Linked DNA regions of Drosophila melanogaster. The protein of the gene in region 3 purifies or fractionates together with the protein of the main gene of each other region. This does not show direct contact. Each region holds a gene or a part of one and is shown on either strand. Other genes may lie near its edges.

Region 1 (3,913 bases), on a different chromosome or scaffold from region 3:
TACATTTTTCTAAACGAGTATTGCACATTGTAAATAATGAAACCACAATTATTTTGTATACAAAGCGATTTTTTTTTTATTGTTGCAAGCGAATACACTTTCCAGCGCAGTGCGCCCCAGTTGCGATGCGCAGAACGTTTTTGCGGGAAACATAGGTCCATAACCAGCTTCTTTTAACCATGTTAAGGCAATGATAGTCTCCAGGTATCTTCGGATTTATGCTAAATGGAGGAATGTACATAACCTTAACTACCCAAACCATGTTTCTACTCCGATGTGCCATGGCATAAACCTAGAATAATGCCATTCGTCGTATATTGTTGTAGTTCTTTTGGTCGGCCTAAATAAATAATCTAAGCGATTCGAATTCTTTATGGTCCGAGCATAGCAGCATACTTACTTGTTTACATAAAATATTAGTTGAAAGTAATCAACGTTAAATGGAGAAGCACATAAGCTTTTAAATAATATTAGTAGACACATAAGATTTAACTAAAACCTAACTTTGGGAAATGTGAAACTAGTGTATTTATAAAATTAGAATTAATATATAAGTAAAAGGCAGCTACAGAACAACAAAAGGATGCTCGTGAGCAAAAGAAGACTATTTAAGTAAACTAGTTATTTAACTAATTGTGAACGTTTAAGTAGCGTGAACAAATAAAACGAAATTGAGCATTTAAGTTACGTTCCTCCACATACGAAGATTTTGGCTTATCGTTTAGAAAATATACCATTTCCTTTGATGGTAAATCAAATTTAATCTATGTCCTTGCAATTCATGCCGTTTTTGTTATGAGCAATTGGATTCTAATGTTATTTAAATATTTGAATGTAGTATTTCGAGCCAACTGGTTTATTCCAACCCAAGTCTACTATGTTTTGGCACACAGCTATAAACGAATGCGATGAATTTCTGCACATATTTTTATAATAAAGAGCTACAAATCGACAAATATCCAAATCTATATACAACAATCTTTTGAAATTACCAAAATTGAATGCATGTATTGTATTCAAAAAAACGTATTTACGCTAGAATTCCTTCTTTCCTCTCGACAGAACCTCGCAAAATAAACTGAATTATCTGCAAAATCCTACTTCTAAAGTTATCTGAAGAGCTTCTTGCAAAAATGTGTTGGGTTAGCAGTTTCAGTTTGGCCGGGCATCGGGTTTACTATACTATTTAGCCACGCTTGGGATCTGAATCCACGTCCGATTTGCACACCACAATCACTGGACCAAACAACAAAAACAAAACAAAAAAAAAAAATAGAGGGGAGCACGGAATTTCACTTGCGTTTGCTTTATAATTGATCGTCATATCATAAAACACACACACATTTTTCAGATGTTGGTTTCTTCTATTGTTAAGGGTATGGATCTTCAGTTGAACATTTTACTGAGTAATTTTTTATACATTAGAAAAAAAAACTGAAGCGCCTGGGTTGTTTAGTTGCGCGATCCGCGTCCGAATCCGCCACGGAACTCGACCTCTCCGGCACCGGGTCCAACATCGCCCTTCTTGTCCACTCCGCTGCCGCCGGGAGCACGTCGGTAGGCGGAGCGATCCTCTCCGGTCTTGGAGGCGTCACCGGGTCCGCGTGGGCCGCCAACGGCGGGACGGGGACGGACGGTCTCCGAGCGGGCAGGGCGCTTCAGCGTCGAGGGCACGATCTCGGGCGGCAGGTGGAGGTAGCTGCGCAGCTCCTCGATTCCCTCGTTGGTGAGGTACCAGTAGTAGTGGCGCCAGGCGAACTGCTCCTTAACCAGTCCGCGCGAGTGGAGCGACTGCATCGCCTTGATCACGTGCAAGTTGGGGATCGACTCCAGTTCCGGGTGCTTCTGGGCATGGAAATCCTTCTTGGCCACGATCACGCCCTCCTTGAAGAGGTACTCGTAGATCGCGACACGATGGGCCTTTGGCATAAACATTCTGCACAAACAACAAAAAAAAAAAATAGCAATTAGATTCGGTTCATTGCCAGGATATATCTACAGATCATCCATGTGGTATCCAATTCACACATTGTTTATTGAGTCTGAAAGACTCGCTTCTTTGTCCACACAAAAAAAAAATGTACACATGCATTCGGGAACAACATTGGGCGCATATTTTCCCGGTGCGGCCGCTTGAAAATGGGGGTTTTCGGCGACAATTACCTGGATTGATTTGCAAACACAAAGTTACACGAACGCGAACGTATCGTAATACTCCCGCTGCAAGTAAAAAAGAGAATTGGAGGTATTTAATAGGGAGTTTTGCTTAAAAATTCGCGGAGCACACGCACTCACCGGAAACGTGAAGACGAAAAGAAAGGGAAACGGAAGGGATGACAAGAAGAAGACGGTGAGCAGTGTGGCCGGACCTTTCGATATGTGTCAGCAATCGATGACGCCGGCAATATATCGATATTATCTTAAGACATAATCCACGAGTAAATTTCGCGATTAAATCAAGTAACTACACTTGCGACACATTTTGACTTAGAATTTTTTGAATTACTTAAAACTGACCACCTTATATTCGTTCTCATAGCTTGTCTTGTATACTTGGGCATTCGATAGCGACAATGGTGCCGGACTTTTTAGTATCGATATCCTTATCGATAAGCCTTAGGCCAAGTATTAAGTTAATACACACACCGCATTTTGCACATGCATCTTATCGATACGTCTTTGTTGTCATAAAATCGCACTTATTTATTGCCAATAAGTATTAGTGATGGCACAGTTAAGCGTTTTTGTTTCGGTAATTCAAGTGTTTCATTTGTAATTATAAAAAAAATCACTCATTTTGTTTTATGAAAAAACAATTAAAATGGATCTTATTATATAAGCTTATTTATTTATTATTTATTTATTATTATTATTTAGTTATTTATTATTTCATTTATAAAACATTAATTTGAACTCAAAACAAAAAAAGTTTTACGACGAACCAGGTAAAACTTTCAATTTTGAGAGTCTCTCAGCAAAGGCCCTCCGCCCTCCCTTCTAGTCAACGAATGAGTAGCCATCTGTTCTCTGAGAATCTGTAGGTTTAACACTAAAGCTGTAAAACAATACAGCTCCCGGGATAGACAAACTTTAGGAATTAGCATTATTATGCAGCAGGATAATGGGCGCCACCGCCCAGACCCCAAGTTTCGACTGGGGCAGCCACAGGTTAGTGGATATCGGGGCGAAAAGTAATCTGTTAGTAGACGCGAAGGTTCTAACTTTTTCCCATCGAAAATTCCGAAGAGGATAAGAAGCAGCACACAGAAAATGTATTAATTAAAATAGAACCGTACAGTTAGGTTAAGCGCACAGTTGGGTTAAGTTAGGTTACACAGTGAGAAGTTCCTGATGAAGTGAACATATACAAATTTGAAATATATATGTACATAGTATATAAAATAATGCTGGATGAACCCTTCCTGACCTAAACCTACATCGGAAAAATTCAAAATCTCCGAACCGCCATTCTGCACTGAGAAAAATTAGGTTATATTTTTAAATCATATATTAGAAGGCTTTACCATAAGTTACCATAAGTTTATGGGATAATTTAAATAAATAATTTGGTTCTCCTCTAAAATATATTTAGCAACCTGTGTCGCATCCATTTAATGACAATTTTCTTGAATACCTTTTATAAAATTTTTCTTGAATTTACGGCAAAAACTAACACCTACTGCCTTATATTTCCTCATCTTACTTTAGTTTGCATTCATTTATTTACTTATTTAATTTATTACTTACCTATTATTACTTATAAATATTGCTATTAATTATTAGTTACCACCATGAATGCAATAAAAAAATGAATTTCTAAAAACTTAAATACTGAACTCGGCTGATGTTTCATCGGACATAGGGTACCAAAGGGGCCGCTAGAGCCATGCCTTTAATGAAAGTGGTCATAGAT
Region 2 (4,623 bases), on a different chromosome or scaffold from region 3:
CGTGTTGGGCAAGTAGCTTGTCGTTATACTGGGACACCGTTCCCTTAATGCGGAAGTTGGTCGCCACTTCACTCAATGTCAAGACAAGAAGGTCGCGACTCGGCAGGGTAACTCCATGATTGAACTCCAATTCAGAAATCTGACGGTGCGGGATAATGTTCTTCTGGTATCGCTCTTCACCAGCGGAAAACTCCCAGTCAAGCCCTAGTGAGCTGATATTCATGAGCCTACGATTATTTGAATCGTGTACCTCGATTTCAATTTCAATTTTATTCTCTGGATCTTTCAGGAATAATAACGAGGTGCGCTTCTCCAGGGGGCAGGAGTCACGCAGGTTATGGCGAGCGTAGAGCTTTAGGAAGCGAGGACGGACGCAATGCACCTTTGTGGTCACCTCCGATTGATATAAGGCAAAGCTTGAGGTGGGAAGGCTATTATGCACTCGGTAAGTGAACTGCGTCTCGCCCAGCTCACGACACAGCACGGTGAACGCAGTTATCAAATTTTGCGTGTCGAACTCTAATTTAGACACTTTTAATATTTTTTCATCAAAAGCGGTAGATTGTATGATTTCTGCTGCCACCGTAAAACTGCGCTGCGGCCCATTAGCATAAATTATATTACGGGATGACCCAACGGGAAGAACAACCTCGTTTTCTATTGGATTTAGCACGACTAATGGCTCAAAGACATACAAATCAATAATGTCGTAAAGCACTTTGTCCATATACATATAGGAAACGCGTAGCGAGGTGGTGCCCACAGCGGTGGCCCGCAACCGAAGCACATGACACGCCTCGTGAGCAGCCTCCGCCCCTTCATTACCCTCCAACTGCAGAATGGGCTGGCTGAAGTCTAGTTGGAAGTGAAGATTATCACAACTTGTGTAGGGAACCTCTGAATTATTTATTCGAGCGTATACGCCCACATGCACGTGTACGAAGTCCTTCAGGGCGGTCTCAAAGTTGCTCCGCGTGATCTGAAGGCGCTCAGGGGGGAGAAAGTAGATATGTGCCACACGGGAAATTTTCTGGTTCTTGGATAGAGCCACCTTGACGGTGGTGTGGGCGGTCAGTTTACCACCATCTTTCAGTACCTCCTGGTTCACGTAAGCGGATTTCACGTCGCGGATTTCAGTTGTGGCTTGGCCCTGGGTGTCAATCTGGATCACCTGTGGATTTCCGGAGAACCAAGCGTAGTTGTTATCTCCGCCAGATGCATGAAACTGCAGCTTTAAAGGTTTTAAGCTGTTAGGATCGTATGGCAACACCACCTTGGTTGGCGCTAACTGAAGCTCCTCAAATATCTGAAGCTCAGCTTGTACCGACAGCTGCAACATAAATAACAATATTATAAGAACTTTTAATATAACAAATAGACTTTTGGACTATTATTTTGAGTTAACCTTCTATAAAAAATGCAAACAATTTAAAATTCTACATATCACTGCGGTTGACTTTATAAAAATAGATATTTATTTGACTTATTTAATATTTTATTTACTTCGTTATAAAAGAGGTGGGCAAACGAAATGAATTATTTTTAGCGGTCGGCAAGCAATAAAAACAAATTTTAATTAATGGCTTTTTTTTTGTTAGATAATATTTAGTTTTTAGAAGTGGACAAACGCCTAATTATATGATAATACCGCGATTCTTTTTAATGGGTTATATCTATGCACATATTTTCTAGAGTAATATATATAACAAACATTTTAGTTATAAACTTACGTCTTTATATGAGCCATACACCTGAGTGATTCCCTCTTTTTTTGCTTGACCGAAAAGGCGGCTTCCGTTGCGAGTACGATCAACAATGGCGAAAAAGGATTCATCCACCTCTGAGTTGATTGAATATTTAGTGCCCATTGTGATCTTCTGACCGTCGGCAGCAAAAAGATCCAATGCTATAGCGTGATGCTCGCCTTGTACTGTCACCCAATTGAGATGGGGCAACAGACTGATGGACAACCTATTCGGATATGCCACAGTCAATAGAGCGCTGGGTCCCTTTTGGACCTCATCAGAGTCCGCCATGTTGCGGTCTCGCAGAAAGACCTGGGTGCGACCCAGAGCCGCTCCGGTGGCACTGTTTCCACGAAGGTATGCAATGCTGGAGTCCTCCACCTCCAAATAATACTGATTGTTGTCTATAACGTGCAGTCGGTCCATCTTCAGCTGCAGAATGCGAAATGAGACGGAGTCTCCAGCCATTATGGTGACTTCGGAAGGCTCAATTATAATGTTTGCAAGAACGCTGATGTACACCTCAACTGGCCGCACATGCTTGTACTCGGCCTGAGGCATGGCGATGGTCACCTTGGCGGTGCCAGTATTAATGCCCTCAAGGAGGATCATGTGCCCCTTCTTGCCGTCGGCTTCAAACTTTTCAATGGTGGGCGGTACAGTGTGGTACGGACTGTCCGTGAACGTGAGGTATCGCATTGCGGTGGGCCTTTTGCTACCGGGTTCCAAAATCTCCCAGTCAAACTCGATTCCCTCCAAGGTAAAAAACTCGTTGCCTTGTTCATCAAAGGCGTGCAGCTCGAACATGGCGGGCGCCTCCTCCAGGTAAAGTTGTCGAGTGGCGGTGCGCACATTTAGACTAGCAATGACATCCACAATCACGTCGGAACGCAGCGTCTCGCCCGTTTGTACTTCCTCGGCGAAGACGATTGCAGTGTTCCTCCGACGATCGTGAGTGCGGACTGTCACCACCGCCTGGTATGCACATTCGCTGAAGCCCTTGTAAATGGGCATGACAGATATCAAGTCCTGGCGTGAGGACGACCTGCAAGTTCAGCATAGTAGTAGTAGTAGTTCTAGAAGTTATAAAATTATATCTGTATGACGCCGATTTACCATTTGTAGCAGTTCGGCTCGTCGACTTCCAGGGTAAAGTTTATTGCCTTGTCTTCGAATATTGGTAGTAACACACGCGGGTGGTTCAACCTAGCTGCCTCAGAAGCATGATTTCTTACCAAAATCAGCAAAATCATGCAAAGAATAGAATCCATCGTGCCGGCAAACGAGCCACGCGCGGAACGAGATGCTGGATAGGGATGGACAAGAATGACAATATCGCAAATATCAACTATCGATAAATTATATTATACGGGTTTCAAAAATACCAATATATCACTTATTATATGTGATGTAAATCATAATCAGTTGTATATCTGTACCTCAAGTTAAACGAAGACTTACATATTACGTATAACAGCTTTTTTTATAATTATATTTATTTACAAATAAAATTGGGTTTTTGCTTGTAAATATTTATCAAATAACATCATTTTCGGGATACCCTGCAACTCAGTCTTAATAGGAATATTATTCTTTTTGTATTCCTAAAATAGGACTCGCTTAAGCTTAATTAACATTTATTTTTCTGTAATATCTAAACTAATCCTAGTTAAACTGGTGACAGCTTTAGAAAAATACTGTTAACACAACTCAACTCTATACAGCTGCACATGCAGTTAATTGATGTCTGTAATCGAAAAGCAAAACGTCTGGCAACATCGGGTTGACTTCACCGGCAGCTGACTTCTCATGTAACCATTTCGTTATAAACAAGCAATTTAAGTGATCCGAAATTGGGGAAGTGCCATGCTAGAATTTGGTCGAACATTGCTGCGCTGGAGAACGCGGCACTGCAGTCGCAGAGTCTCTACGTGGACGCCGCTGGCTACGGCGTTTAATGCGCCACCGGCTAGGCGGATCAACTTCACCCACGACGATGTTGTAAGACCCAAAGTCTGTAAAACGCAGGACCTCTGACTAGGCATACATGGCCTTTTTCCCGTAGGGCCTCTTTGGCATGCCCGAACTGCGGAGTTTTGAGGGCTTCTATCTCCTTCGAGACAATGTGGAAAGCCGGACGCAGGAGCTGATCTCCGAGGCCACCTCCGATCAACGACGTCGAAAGATGGTCGACATTTTTGACGAGCTTTCTGACTCATTGTGCAAGGTGGCGGACCTCGCAGAGTTTGTTCGTATCGCGCATCCTCAGAGCAGATACACCCAAGCAGCAGAGCAGGCCTGCATAAGCATTTGCGGAATGGTCGAGAGCCTTAACACGCATAAGCCCATCTATAAGGCTTTAAGCCACGTAGTGGATCATGGAGATAAGCTGCCCACCAGCGAAGTGGACAGACATGTGTCGCGTTTGTTCCTTTTCGACTTTGAGCAGTGTGGAATTCACTTGCCCGAGGAGGAACGTATGCGTGTTGTGCGGCTAAATGACTATATTCTTCAGCTCGGCCAGAAGTTCATGAGTGGAGCTGTGCAACCTAGTGTTCTTCCACGCAGCCAAGTCCCTGAGTCCTTTCGTAACTAGTAAGTTCACATATAACACTATCTGGGCTATACTAAAGATTTTTTTTTGTCAGCTTTCCTACCTCTGGGGAAAATGTAATTATCACTGGACTGTGCACAAACGCAGAGAACGTTCAGATGCGGGAGGCTGCCTACCGGTTGTACCTGCAGCCGTCAAAGAGCCAGGAGGATCTTCTCCGAGACCTACTGCTTTGCCGGCATGAACTGGCGCGTAGCTGTGGCTTCGATACATATGCACACCGGGCACTCAAAGGTAGCACGATGGAGAAACCCGAAGTGGTAC
Region 3 (4,852 bases):
TCTAGCTATACTGAACGCAACAGAATCATTTACAATATACATATATGTATACGCACTGAACTGCTCGCAACTGGATTCTGACGTCACACTTGAACTACAATATTTTGCAAAGTCCAGTTTCGCAAACGCATCCAGACTATTCTCGGACAGATAGATGTACTAGTTCCGTCAGATCGACAACCCAGAATCGTGTGCACTGGGTATGGCATTTTTATACGTAATCATCTGATCGGAGATTCGATTGAACCGACAAATCTCCCAATTAATGGGGAAAACTGCGCACCAAATGAGTTCAATTGTCGGGTTAGCTGATTCGGAAGATGGGCGTGTGGCCATTGAAGCCTGACATTTGCATTAATCTTAATTGATTAATAACGATTCAAGATCAAAGCCATTAGGAGAAATATCCGTAACAACATGAGTGCAACAAATGCAAATTGGAGCGCACTACAAAAAAAAGAGTTGAAGGTTACCCAAAAAATATTTTAAATAAGTTCTAAAATACAAAGCAAAGGTTTCCATGGGTGGAAAAACAAAACAATTTATTCTTTTTTTCGAGGGATATTTTATAGTCAAGTTACTTGACTACAAGCATCATATCTTTTACTATGGAATCTCTGTGACCAAACTGTTAATATCAATTTAAAACTAAACTAAATGAGTCCACACTTTAGAAGTTTCAATGGTTGGCAGTTTTGTTAATCTTTTCCTTGTCGTCACTATCATTCTCATTGTCATCGGTCTCTTGATCCTTATCCGTGTCGGTTTTGTTATCGTTATTATCCTGCGCTTGCTGCAGAGCCTTTTGAGCAGCGCGATCTTGTTGTGATTTTTCCCAGGCCAGCTCAAAGGGATACTCCAAGGGTTTCAGTTCGTCGGGGCACTCCTCCTGATTCGGAGCAGTGGCTTGGCTAATGGAAGCGCCACGCGTGTGGATCTGCTCCAGCTGAGCGGCGGTGTGGACCTCTGAATTGAGACCCGTAATAAACTCGAACAACTGCTCCTTGGTGTAAATGTTGGGCAGGCCGCGTCGTTCAAAGAAGTTAACAATGTTGCCGCAATCCCTCATCAGGAACTCCAGGGCACTGGGATGCTTCGGTTCGACACTCTGGGCCACGTCAATAAACCAGCACTTGCCCTCGAACCAGAGTATGTTATATTCGCTCATATCGGCGTGCACCAGCTTCGCCTCATTGTACAACTTGTGCATCGCGGCCACAATCTCTTCGTAGGCGCAACTCAGCTCCGCGTCGCTCAGACGGGCATCCTTTAACTTGGGCGCAGCGTTATGATTGTCACCGATGAACCGCATTACCAGCACGTGCTTCTTCAGCACAACAACGTCTGGAACGTTTAGGCCAATGGCTTGCATCCTCATCAGATTATGCATCTCCTTCTCGGCCCACATATTGATAATCACTCGGTGGTTTTGTTTGCTAAAGCGATCCTTGAACCGATAGTCATCCTTGATGTATCTATCGCGCTGCTTGAACTCGTTGAGCGTGGTTTTAAAGATTTTAATGGCACACTCCCGGGGCAAAAGCTGCGGTGGAACGAGCACACCACTCTGGTGACCATGCTCGTTGCTGCCCGTATAGTTCGCATCGGAATTGGCGTGCAAGATGACCGCCTCCTTGCCCGTGGATATAATGCCGTTGATCTGCTCCAGTATTTGGTTATTGATCAGCTTGTACAGCAGCAAACGTGTACCCGCATCCAATCCCATCTCCGCGGTGGCCACTTTCTCGTGCTTGTCGGAGCGGCCTCGTCGAGAATGGGCTCGTAGTTGGTTAAACACCTGAAAGGTACGTTTAAGTCTTATTATCGCTTAAAACTGACCGCTTCTAACCTTATTGGAGAGCTTCATGTCGAAACCGGCAGCATCACCGGTGGGAAACTCCGGCGGAAAGGACATCACGCGCTGGGCATTACGCACGGCGCACAGCTGCGGATCGTGCTTTGTTATCATCTCGCCCTCCTTGTTAACTTTAAAGCCGCAGCGAGGTATGGAGTCAAGCTGCCGTTCATTGTCCTCGAACCGATCCCAGTCGTGCTTCTGTTGCTCCAATTCATCCTCTTCGTAGTCATCTTCCGCGGTGTCGTGCAAGAACTCTGCATCGCCATCACGTAGGAACTTATTGAGGGTAACAGTGACCTTGGATTGCTTGTTTTGCTGCCGCTCGATACGACGCAATTCCTCATTGTACTCGTGATCGAACTGGGACTGCAACAGCTGGGCAATAACTGCATCGCTGTCTTCCGGCAGCTGAATGTCCTCCGCTACGTTTCCTTCGTCATTGAGGAGCGCAGAGTAATCCTCCCAATCCTCCGCATCACTTTGGATACTCTGCGCATTGGGCGCTGGCGGGGATGAGGCTTGCGACCCCCAAACGGGTGCTATCTGTTCGTCCGGTCTTTTCAGCTTCTCCGTGTGGCGCTGCAGCTCCTTGTCGTGCAACTTGTGGGCATATTGCTCCGACATTATATCCGCCAGATTCACCTGCTGCACAGGCTCGCTGGTCTTAACCCATGGCGACGACATTCTGCACAATCGAAAGAGAGTCAATATAGATCACAATTTGGTGCTGTGATTCCACAAACCTATTGGAACTTGGCTTGAGAAGATCGAGTTCTATATCGGTGGTAATTGTGGCAGTTTACAAACAAGCCTCTGTCCAAATCCTGACCAACGGCGGGTTGCAGGTGGACTCTGATATGTCCGCGGTGGAGGACAAGTGACAGTTTTGGCACTATAGATGACCAATATAAGGGGAAGCCAATTGCAACCCTTGTTGCAATAATATTTCTATTGTATTTCTCCAAACAATCCTTTTTCCAATTGTTGTGAAATTATCAGCTTATGAAAGTATCGAGCTATCGCAGAACGATAGACCCGATAAATTTGGAAATAGAAGAACTCCTAATATCGAAAGCTTTGCTTACAATTTTTATAACGTTAAGTTAAAGTTATATTATACTTTAATTTGCATACTTAGAAAACGTTTTATTTGTCATATTTTAGGAAAAGGCAGAAAAATATATCGTTAGCAAGGGCGTTGCCACATCGTCAGTTCTAGAGCGACGTTGCCATCGTAGTTTCGATGCCAGTAATCGATACTTTTTGTTGTAGTTGTACATTTTTCGCCAAAAATAATAATAAAAGTGAAAAATTTTTTTTGTTAATATACGTTTATTTGTTGTACAAAGGAGAAAATGTTATTAAACTGATTGGCCGCCCCAGCATTTTCGTGACCCCCGCTCCAAATACAACAAAATCGAACGGCCGCCAGCAACAACAAGGTGCAGTAAATATTCAGTGCGCTGGTAAGAAAGATGGAAACAAAACGAGAGACCGAAAAAGCAATCAAAATAGAATTCCGAATTTAGAATATGACAGACTGAAAAAAATTTTCAATTCGAACGCATTGCCGCTGCTGCTGCCCGCTCCTCTTCTTCTTCATCTCCTCCTCCTTCTTCCTCTTCTTCGCCAGCCGCTGTGGGGGGACATTGGGGGTCAAATGCAGAAGATCGGGACTGAAGATTTCGTGAATTTGTGATTTCCGAATTCGTTCCTGCTAATTTGCGACTGCCAGACTCAAAGAACACACACACACATACACACCAGCACACACCCACACGCTTGCACATACATTCGCTTGTGGCCGCCTGTAATTATGATTTTTATTACTCCTGCAGCGCATATCGCCTTCTTTAACCGCCAATTGCTCCTGCTCCTGCCCACTAACCAAGTCAAACCAAAAGAAGCGATTACTCTCCAAGCGCCAGCGGAAGTGAAATGATAAAGTCCACCACGAATCCACAGGAACAGCGTCTGCCACGCCCCGAGGATCAGTCGCCAGCGCCGCCGCCGCCGCCCCCCTCCTCAGCCACCACCTCCACCGCCGCCCCAGCCACGCCCACGCACCAAGTGGCCACCGTGATAGCCAACATGGACACCCTGAAGACAGCCTTTCTGCCCAATCTCAGCATGGACCCCAATGTGCACGTGTCGCCGCACTATTGTCCCATGTGTCACCAGCAGTTTGAGCGACCGCAGCACGTCGCGGATCACATGCAGCTGTGCCACGGGATCACGCTGAACGCCCAGGGAGCCATTGCCACGCTGGACGGCGGTCATCCGCAGGCACAGCAGCACCCCAAGCTCAGCCACCCCTGCTTCAATTGTGATGAAAAGTTTGGCAACGCCGTCGATTTAGACGAACACCATCGGCTGGCCCATCAGACGCCCGCCTTCCTGTCCCGCTGCCTTATGTGCAGCATCTATGGCATCCACTCGGCCACCCAGCAGCCCAACGAGTACAAATGCACGCAGTGCGGCTCCATTTGCACCACCGCCATGCTGGCTGCCGGACAGCAGGGCTTTATGGAACAGCAGGAGGCGGCGGTGACGCCCGACGATCAGCTGCCGGCAATGGCGCCCCGTGATATGAGACTGACGCCCGAGGAGCAGCACCATCAGCAGCAACTGCAGGCGGAGCACCACCATCAGCAACAGCACCAACAACAACAACAGCAGCAGCAGCAGCAGCAGGAACTGCTGGAGCAGCAGCAGCGTGAAATGCAGGAGCAGGCGCAACAGCAGCAGGTGCACCATCACCAGCAGGATCAGGATCTCGCCGGCGACCAGGTGGCGCTGAAGGTGCCACCACTCACCGTCAAGCTAAACAAGAACGCCAACGGTGGCGCCATTGTGTCGCATCCGCAGGTCATTATCAAGGAGGAGCCACTCAGCCTGAGCGACAGTGGTGATGTTGTCAACTCTGTGCCTGTCTATGCCATACAAGCCAATCCCGGTGTACCCGCTCCGGCCAGTTCGGGTGTGCTAGTCGGC

What was found. The genes of interacting proteins can lie anywhere in the genome.
Region 1: the proteins of CG3008 (region 3) and RpS10b purify together in Drosophila melanogaster (affinity purification with mass spectrometry, with the first as the bait; one large-scale study listed by BioGRID). This does not show direct contact.
Region 2: the proteins of CG3008 (region 3) and Gp210 purify together in Drosophila melanogaster (affinity purification with mass spectrometry, with the first as the bait; one large-scale study listed by BioGRID). This does not show direct contact.

What each region holds. Positions count from the first base shown.
Region 1 is NC_004354.4:19,596,456-19,600,368, reverse strand, and holds RpS10b (ribosomal protein S10b), read right to left. Parts: upstream 2,330-3,913; 5' UTR 2,292-2,329; exon of another isoform or gene 2,221-2,291; 5' UTR 2,164-2,220; intron 1,945-2,163; exon of another isoform or gene 1,937-1,944; 5' UTR 1,936-1,936; coding exon 1,453-1,935; 3' UTR 563-1,452; downstream 1-562.
Region 2 is NT_033778.4:5,759,301-5,763,923, reverse strand, and holds the start of Gp210 (glycoprotein 210 kDa), read right to left. Parts: upstream 3,063-4,623; 5' UTR 3,017-3,062; coding exon 2,862-3,016; intron 2,791-2,861; coding exon 1,731-2,790; intron 1,331-1,730; coding exon 1-1,330. Other genes in the region: CG7791 (uncharacterized protein), read left to right, coding at 3,612-3,746, 3,811-4,340, 4,394-4,623.
Region 3 is NT_033779.5:4,881,337-4,886,188, reverse strand, and holds CG3008 (uncharacterized protein), read right to left. Parts: upstream 2,892-4,852; 5' UTR 2,602-2,891; intron 2,544-2,601; 5' UTR 2,543-2,543; coding exon 1,850-2,542; intron 1,799-1,849; coding exon 680-1,798; 3' UTR 520-679; downstream 1-519. Other genes in the region: Cf2 (chorion factor 2), read left to right, coding at 3,797-4,852.